Linked DNA regions of Macaca fascicularis. The protein of the gene in region 1 interacts with the protein of each later gene in a biochemical or structural test. Links are inferred from orthologs where the notes say so. Each region holds a gene or a part of one and is shown on either strand. Other genes may lie near its edges. The genes, in order: PIAS3 and MITF.

Evidence for each region.
Region 2: the proteins of PIAS3 (region 1) and MITF form a complex in vitro, tested with the Homo sapiens proteins (2 studies listed by BioGRID). The link is inferred for Macaca fascicularis from reciprocal best matches to the Homo sapiens genes PIAS3 and MITF.

The regions. Positions count from the first base shown.
Region 1 is NC_088375.1:113,555,658-113,560,011, reverse strand, and holds the start of PIAS3 (E3 SUMO-protein ligase PIAS3), read right to left. Parts: upstream 2,965-4,354; 5' UTR 2,874-2,964; coding exon 2,850-2,873; intron 863-2,849; coding exon 445-862; intron 288-444; coding exon 203-287; intron 1-202. UniProt on the Homo sapiens protein: Functions as an E3-type small ubiquitin-like modifier (SUMO) ligase, stabilizing the interaction between UBE2I and the substrate, and as a SUMO-tethering factor.
Region 2 is NC_088376.1:132,817,778-132,822,231, forward strand, and holds the start of MITF (microphthalmia-associated transcription factor), read left to right. Parts: upstream 1-1,538; 5' UTR 1,539-1,676; coding exon 1,677-1,780; intron 1,781-4,454. UniProt on the Homo sapiens protein: Transcription factor that acts as a master regulator of melanocyte survival and differentiation as well as melanosome biogenesis.

The DNA.
Region 1 (4,354 bases):
CCCCAGAGGGCAGGGGTGAACGCACAGAGAGGCTGAAAGTTAGATGTCCGGAGGATAGAGCAGAGACACACAAAAGAACGAGAGACAAGTAGGTACAAGAGGATGGATAGGGAAAAGCGCAGGGCAGAAGAGAAGAAAGTCAGAAAGCAGAGTCCAGGGGTAACCCCCCAGGGATGAGGGAGGAAGACTGGAAGAGATGTACCTGGATGTAAGAATCTGCTGCACTTGCTGGGGTGTGAGGGCAAAGGTAAAGTGCGCTTCCTCAAACCGCTGGCTAGAAGTGGATGCTGAGGATACAAAGGGGCAGTTATTCCAAGCCCATGCACAGGCAGCCACAGAAATCACCCCCATCCCAGGTCACTGATCCCATAGGACTAAAGCCTAAGAAATGTCTGGGGAACAGGTAGGGAGTCCAGAAGACTAAGGGACCACAAAGAGCCATACCAAGGGTGGTGGGCCGGATGAGCTCCCCGTAGACTTCATAGAAGGGCAATGGTTTCATGGTGACATCAGGGTGCACAGGCTGGGCCAGAGAGGGGTGCATGTCCACCTCACGCTTGGGGCCCAGCAGGGTGCCAGGGGCCAAGAGGGTTGGGGGAATGGGAGCTAGAGGACCAGGGGAGCCTACAGGAGAGGTGCCAGGAGGCAAAGAGAGAAGGGAGAGATCAGAGGGCCCCAGGGTCTTCCGGGGAAAGCGTCGTCGGTAAAGCTCTTTGATCTTCATCTGGACGCTAGGGGCACAGCTGGACTTCAGGAGGTGCAGGGCCTTGGCCAGGAGCTCGTGCTTCCGCCCACTCTTGTTCCGGCCAGCAAAGCCAAGAAGCACCTGGAGCTCAGACACCCGGAAACTCATCACCATGTGCTGTGGAGAAGAACAGAGAAGCTTGAGAATCCTCCGTTGCACAGGCCTGCCCTGCCAAGACATGGGCTGAGCTACCAGGTGGGCAGTGCCTTTTTCCCTCCAGCACTGATGGGAAAGATGATGCTTCGCAGCTAGTGGATTACTGCCAGGTAGTCAACCTATCCAAAGGGACATCTCAGTCCCACTTTAGCAACCATCAGGTCAGCATCATCACCACCCCCTGCCCACCCCAAGCTTGAGCAACACTGTCTGTCTCCCCAGGCCTGGAAGTGGCCAGAGTGGGGCAGGGAATGGCAGACAGCAAGCCACCCTCAGACACACCTCCAAGTCTATACAGCCTCCCGCCTCCAACCCTGCCTCTAGTCTGGACTCTCCTTTAAGCTGCTTATCTCCTCTCTTGCCCTTTCTCAGACACTCAAACTCATCCCAGCCTCCTGGGAAGAGGATAGGAGACAGGGAGAAGGAGGGAGAGACAAGAGGATTCAAGCCAGACAGCCCCACGGGGAAGAAAGGGGCCAGGTGGCTGGAGGATTGTGCCCTTCAGCCCACCCCTCCAAACCACCTTAATTCCTCAGCTATTTCCCCCAAGCCTCTGAAGCTTCTGTGGGCCGGGGTTTTCAGGTCAGGGTTCAATGCTCATTACTCCCCCAGATCCTTTCTTGGAATCATTAATATAACCGCCCCCTCCCCACAACTTAGTCCTATTTTTCTGGAAGGGAAACAGGACCAAAACTTAGGTTGAGGAGATTAACAGTGATTCACTGAGTCCAAGTATCCTGCCTGTTTACTCTATCTGCCAGGAACCATTATCTGGCGTCTCTCCTACATAGAGAAAATAATACTCCTGTACAACCTACAGCCCCCCTACACGGGTGGAAGAGGAGCGGGCAGAGCTCTAAACAGAGGCCCTGGGTGGATGAAGGAAAAGCCTCTGAGTCAGGGCACAGAATCGCAAATTTCCTGAAGGTAGCTGGGCCCAGTGGCTAGACCTCCAGACTGCCCAGGACCATAGCTCCATTTCAAAGGGCAGAAGAAAACCAGGAGGCATGGGGATGAACTCGGTGGTTTAAGGTTCTATGAGATGTCCTCAGACGTGGTCACCCTCCAAACTCTGTGTGGCAGAAGGAGGGGAGCGCTCTCCTTAGAGGGAGGACTCCCTTCTGTGAATCTCTAGGAGATCCTGTCATGGGCAGGGCTTGCTAGCCCTACACAATTCTTCTCACAGGAGGCTTTGTCTTGGACCCCTTTTGTGGAATGTGATGAGAAACTTGCTCCTCTTTCTCCCCATCTTTATCTTCTCTGTCCTGTCTTATTTTTTCCATTAGCTTTCCCTATAACTTCCCTCCTTTCTATCTCATAGTTTCACATGCCTCTGCCTCTGCCCAAACATCGCGATTCACTAAGGCAGGACCTTCCTCTGAGCCTCCAGGATGCTTCTGCCCCACCCCTCGAGGTATCAGCCCGCACAGCCCCGCCCCCTGCATCTCAGCCGCCTACTGGTATTTCCCAAAGCTCGGATCCCGAGAGTAGCCCCAAAGACCCTACCCTTTCAGCTGCCTTTCCCCCGGAGCCTCCCCTACATCTGCCCCGCGGTCCCATCCCTGCATCTGCCCCCTACTGTCGCATCTCTTGGCCTCGATCGACTCGCCCCCAGTGCCTCTAGAGCAGCTTTTCCCCCTGGCCCTACCCCAACAACTGCCCCTACTACTAAATCCGACTTCTACCCTTCGTCCCCGCCCCCTGCGCCTCAGCCCCCAACAGCTGCAATTCCCCTCGGCCCCACCCCTACATCTGCCCCGCAGCCCCGCCCCCGGAGCCCCGCCGCAGCCCCTTCCTCGCTCTCAGCCACTTCTTTCCCATCCTCAGCAGCCCGTGCCTGCCACGTCGTCGGCGCCCACCCGAGCCCCGGCACCCAGTCTCGGTCGCTTCCCGGACACGGCGTACCGCCGGAATCAGTCCAGATGGGGATGGGGGAGGGGGCCGGTACCTTTAATTCGCCCAGCTCCGCCATCTTGAGACATCGCAGGCGCCCTAGCCGGAGCCGGAGCTCAGGCCCAGGGACCGGCGCACAACTCTCCACCCCGGCGCCGGCCGCAAATGCCGCCTGCTCCGCCCCGTCCGGCCCCCTATACCTCCCCTTCCCGGCCCCGCCCGCCTGGCTTCGGACTAGCCCCAGCCTGAGCCCCTCCCTCCACAGCGGACCCAGCAGCTACACGTCTGCGGCGGGTTGGCAGGACGCGTAGCCCCGGAGGGAGTTTATGGCCCCCAAGATCGCGGGGTCCCCTAGGGCAACGAAGAGGAGGCGGGTCCGAAGTGCCTGGTGGAGGGGGGCTTTGCCACGGCAGAGTTGGGAGGGGACAAGCTTTTAGAGAGCCAAAGATACTTGAAAGATGGAGGGAAAGTATCGGGAACTGCTAGAGCTCAGAGAAATGGGGGAGGGGGTAGCGAAGTTGGAGCGCAAACCCTCATCTCCATCTCTACATAAGTTTAAGCAACTAAAATCGAGAGGTCTTCCAACTCGGGAAATGGGCGAGCGCTGATCCGTCTTAGGGAAGCCGTGGAGTCGGCATTCAGTTCAAGACAGCTATACTCAATTCACCCTCTCCTCCTCCCCCCCAACACCAACTACAATGCAGCTCGTGGTCCGATCGTAGGACTCAAACTCAGCAGCAAAAAAAGTTTGGTGCGGGGAGCGGGACTTACCAGCACAGTTGTGGGAAATGGAGAGAGGGTTCGGGAGGCTCAGAGGGCGGGCTGGAGAGGTGGGGGCATGGGGCTCGGCGCCGCTCCTGCTGTCCGCACGGCAGAAGTTCGGTCCAGCGGCCGGACGCGGCGGCCGCGGCTCCGCCCGGGCCGGAGCTCCGCCCGGCCTAGCGCTCGGGCTGGGGCCGCCCCCTCCACGGGAAGCCCGCCAGGACCGCCGAGAGTGAAGGGGGGCGGAGCTCGGGCGAGAGAGGGAGGGACTCAGAGCCTGGCGCTGGAGCGATTAACTCCTGGTGTGAGTGGATCTGGAGAGATGAGATCCTTGGATCCCATCATTCTCACTACCTCTGTGACCCCTCACGCTTATGTGTGGGATTGGGGTGGTGGCACGCTGCTGCTAAGGCCGTGTGAACCAGGTGTCTGACCGTATAAAGCAGTCTTCCTTGAAATGACAACTGTCTCTCCCTAGGGCAAAGCCTGGGCTACTGAATCCAAAGTGTACCTAACAGTAACTACTCCAGATACCCCTGCACAGTACCTCCACCAGAGCCCCTATACCTTTGGTGTAGCTGAAGATGAATTGAGGGGTTTTCTTGCCAACAAAAGGAATCTTTCTGTCCCTCTCTGAACTACCTACTCACTCTCCTTCCTCCAAAGCCTTGGACCCTCCAGAGGCCCCATCCCAACCAAGCTGATCACTCACATGCAGGCCCCAGATTAAATCTGTTTCTGTTTCCATGGAAATACCTATTTATTTATTTATGTTTGAGACGGAGTCTTACTCTGTCA
Region 2 (4,454 bases), on another chromosome or scaffold:
TTCTGACTTATTTTAATGGTTCCAGGGAAGGGCCTAAAAGTCGTATGTTGGGGATCAATTGTTATTCTGAAAAATTGGTAATTGCTACTGCAACCTAGTGTGCCTTCTGCACTTTTTCCAAATCTCTTTGAGAACTCCAGCCCTAACATCGATCCATCTTACTGGAGATCTTTTCTGATGTGAAATTAAAATGTTTCAGTGGGAGGCAAGACATGCAAAGGGGTAACTCCTGGAAGGTGCCCAGTTGTCACTGTAGCCTCTTTAGAGTTTTCTCCTAGGACAGTCATTTTGTTTATTAATTCTAAAAGGCCAAACACCAAGATGAGATGTTAATCTGAAAGGAAAAACTTCAAGACCTATTAAAGAATGACCACTGAGAAGGGTTTTTATAGATTGCAAATCACTTTCTCTTACATTTGACCTTGCAACATCTTCTAAAACTGGTTTGCCAATCTCTTCTTTTATGGATGAAGAAATGGAGGCTTCTAGGAACCAAGTGACATTCTCAGGATTGCACAGCTCTTCTTAGAAGGGCTGGGGATTTCAACTCTGAGTCTTATACCTTTAAATGCCACTGTAACTCTATACTGCCTCCCTGATGCCTCAAAACACTTTTAAAAAGAAGGAACACGTCCTACTGGAGCTAATCAGAGGAAAGGAACTAGAAGTACAAATGAGCCACAACAGAGAGTTTTAAAATTCTCTTCCCGAAGTGAATTCCGGGAAGCTCGGGAAGGAGTCGACACTTGTACATCTTCAGTGCTGAAATGCTAGGAAAAACCTCATTTGAACTCCCAGTCAACTGAGTAATTAAAAGCAGAGAGCAACGACGCTGTCTGTAACTTTGTGCCTTTTTAAATTAACCGAATCTTTCAGTTGCTGCTTTAGATTAGAAGTGGCTACTTGGATAAAGGGGAAAGAGCCATTCAACTGATGAATAGTATTGTAAAAGTCCAGACTTTAGAAAAGGAACGCACAAGAACAATTTCTCCAATAACGTTTTCATTACAAAGCGAAGGAAAGTTCTTCCTCGTTGTTCCAATCCGAGGACAAGTTGATGTGTCGCAGCAGCCCAGGGAAGCATGCGGGCTGATAGGAAGTCCTTTTATTTTAAGACAGGCTCGAATGCTAAAACTTTCTCGTGCCAAAACCCTTGACTATCTTATTTTTAAAATAAGCACTCGGCGTGCCCTCGCAGATGTCTGAGCTGAGAGGTGGGAGTGACGGTAGAAGAGCAGTCTGTGTCCGTTCTTATTCATATTAAGTAGCCAATTCTGTACCCTTGAAGCAAGTGGGGAGAGAGGAGGGAGAGGAGCTGCTGACATTGACAATGAATCCAAACAGGAGTTGCACTAGCGGTGTCCACCACGTTGCCGCTCCCCCCGCTTAGCCTTCTGGGAGCTGTAGTTTTAGTGGTAGATGCTCCACAGGCGAGCTGGGAATGCCCCACCAGGGCCGAACTACAGATCCCAGGCGGCGCTCGGCCGCCGGCCCCTCCCGCCCGGGTAGGAGTGTAAACTCCCCGCGCTGGGGCGGGCGGCCGCGAGCCGGCGAGCGGGCAGAGCTCGGCGCTGCGCGGGGGCGCACGGCTCGAGGGACCCAGGCCCAGCTACCTTCCGTCCGCCCCCGGGCTCTATTCTCACTTTCCAGTAGTGGAAGGACGGGAAGCAGGAGCCATGCAGTCGGAATCGGGGATCGTGCCGGATTTCGAAGTCGGGGAGGAGTTTCATGAAGAGCCCAAAACCTATTACGAACTCAAAAGTCAACCGCTGAAGAGCAGGTGAGTGGTGACAGCTGGACAGAGGCGCAGCAGGCGGCTGGGGGCCACTGCGTCTGCCACTCTGGGGCGAGGAGAGCGGATCGCGGGAGCTCTGGGACAAGGACCCAGTGCCCTTGCCCCGGGGCAGAGGGCGAACTGCCCCCCGCAGTTGGGGGCCGCGCCCGCTCGGCCCAAGTGCGCCTTTAGGAGGCTCGGATGGAGCGCACTTCGGAGGGCGCTGTGGGTCGTCGGAGACGAAGCGTCCAGGCGCGGGGACCCTCGGCTGGGGATGCCAGCTGCTGAGACTGAGTGGGGGCTGGGGAACGATCTGGCGCGATGTGGGGGAGGAGGAGCGCCGGGCCGGGACGCTGTCCCGGTGGGATGGGGGAGAAAGTTCTAGTGAACCCCCTTTCTGAAGATCCCAGCGGGTTGAGGGCTCGGAGAGGGAAGCTTTGGGTGGGTTAGGATGCGACATTGGAGGGAAGCAATTAGTTAGCTTGGAGTCACCTCTTGGGAGCCCGGTCCCTGTGGGGAAATTAGTCCCTGGGATCCTGCAGGTGAGGTTTCTCTGGGCTTCGCCTCTCACCTCCAGACCGCTGCAAGCGGGCGCGGGAGGGGCCAGGGCAGCGGTGGGCGTGTCCCCTAGTCTAAGTTAAACTCCCTGGAAATCCCATTCAAATCCAGGCCTTCACTGCAGAGGGGAAATGAGCCTTGGTCTTGGGGGTTACTGGGAGTGTACCCCGCTTGGCAGAGACACGTGTTTAATTCGCTGGGGACTTCAAAAACTTTTCAGGAGAGGAGTGAAGACATCCACTGCTGTGATACCCCATCCCCTCTAGTGCCCACTTCCTTTGAGCCACCCTTTTTGCTGCCTCCATTCCCACTTGTCTGTCGAAATGAATTGGGTGTCTTCCGTTCTGTCTGTCCGGCTGGCACTCTGGACACCTCGTACTTCTCATTTACGGTGGTTACTAAAAGGGACATGGTCAGTGGAGGCTGGAATAGCAGAGAAGGGTTTATTTACACCCCTCTAAGCTGTGAGCTGGGATAAGGCTATCATTGGAAGGATCCAGCAGGACTTCTGCACCCGGCTGTACCTTGCTGCCCTGCCCTTCGCTGTGGGTGGAGCCTGGGTGAATGGGCCTGGCCGGCAGAGTGGGAGAGGGTCCTGAAATGAGGGTGAGTGGAGCAGGGCAACTGAATGAGGAGCCAGGTGGTGTAATCTTGGCCTCTGGCGAGCACTGGGCTGATTCTTTTTCTAGTGGAAAGTGCAACCAGGTTTATTTCCTTCAGGGCTGTGGCAGGACTCTTTATCCCAGTTGGGGAAGAAAATCTGGGAACAGCGGACCTACTGACTGCCATTGCTGGAGAAGCCTCTTTGTAGATGCTTCATGGCAGATTGGAAGGAAACCGCCTAAGCAGTTCGACGTATAAAACCAGCCTTTAGTTGGTGGTTTTTCCTCATAATGGCTGTTTTGTGTGTGAGCATAGATTGTGTGTGTTGGGGGCTGGGGGTTTTGAGTAATATTGTGTGAAGGGTATTGTTGGTTATGCTCATCAGGGCTTTATCTGCATTCGGCTGAAGGGACCAGTGTTTTACTGGGCAGTCTCTGCTTTTGCTTCTATAAGCAAATGCTTACACGGCCAGAATGAGGGAATGAGTGTGTGTGTGGAATCCTGAAAGAAATAAATTAACCGGACTGTTTGGAACATTTCTGATGGTAGCTGATACATAACATTAAATCAGTTTGAGAGAGCGAGGAAAATACCATCTGGAAAAACCCAAATGAGTGCCGTGAAACTCATGTTGGACGATTTGGGCCTGTTCTTTTTCAGAGTCAGCAAAAAAGACTTGTAAGGGTGAACGTCCTCAGTAGCTAGCTAGCAGGGACGTGTAAGGAAAAATGTGGGTATGTGGGAAGAAATGGCTTCACACGTTAATGCTAGAAACAGGTGTGGGCCTGAACCAGCAGGGAAAGGAAGGCTAAATTAAAAAAGTTGTTGTAAAACTTGTATATGGAGCACACACATGCTCTTTGAAATAAACCAGTTAAATAAAATCTGTGAATAAATATATGGAGTTGGCAACATTTCTCTATACTGTTTTCCACAGTTGTCTAAGGTATTGTCGTCGACATCTGTTGTGTGACTTAAAAGGGCTACACATTGTTCAGGGCCTTCTCTCTCATTGCTTTTTGTCTTATGTCTTTGCTGGGGCACCTCACTTCTTATAAGTCTTTGTTGGAAAAAGTTGAAATTGGTATGTTAAGACTGCTGTAGCCGTTCTGCCTATCAACTGTCTTCTCTGGATTGTCCAGAGTAGTTAGAGTTGAAAATATGTCCAGAATCTGCCCGCTACCAACTCCTTTGCTACTACTTTGGTCCAAGCCACCATCAGCCCTTGCCTGGATTATTGCAGTAGTCTTTTAAACTGCAATGTCCACATTTAGTGAATTTTCAGTACAGTAGCCACAATGTTCCTGTTAAAACTGGTTCTCAATTGGAGGTGATTTTGCCCCCAGGGGTCATTTGACAGTGTCTGGAGACATTTGTGATTGTTACAATGGAAGGGATCATTATCCATCTCTAGTAGGTGGAGGCCAGGGATGCTGCTAAACATCTTACAGTGCACAGGACAGCCCCCACAACAAAGGATTATCAGGTCCCAAATTGTTAATAGTGCTGAGGTCAAGCA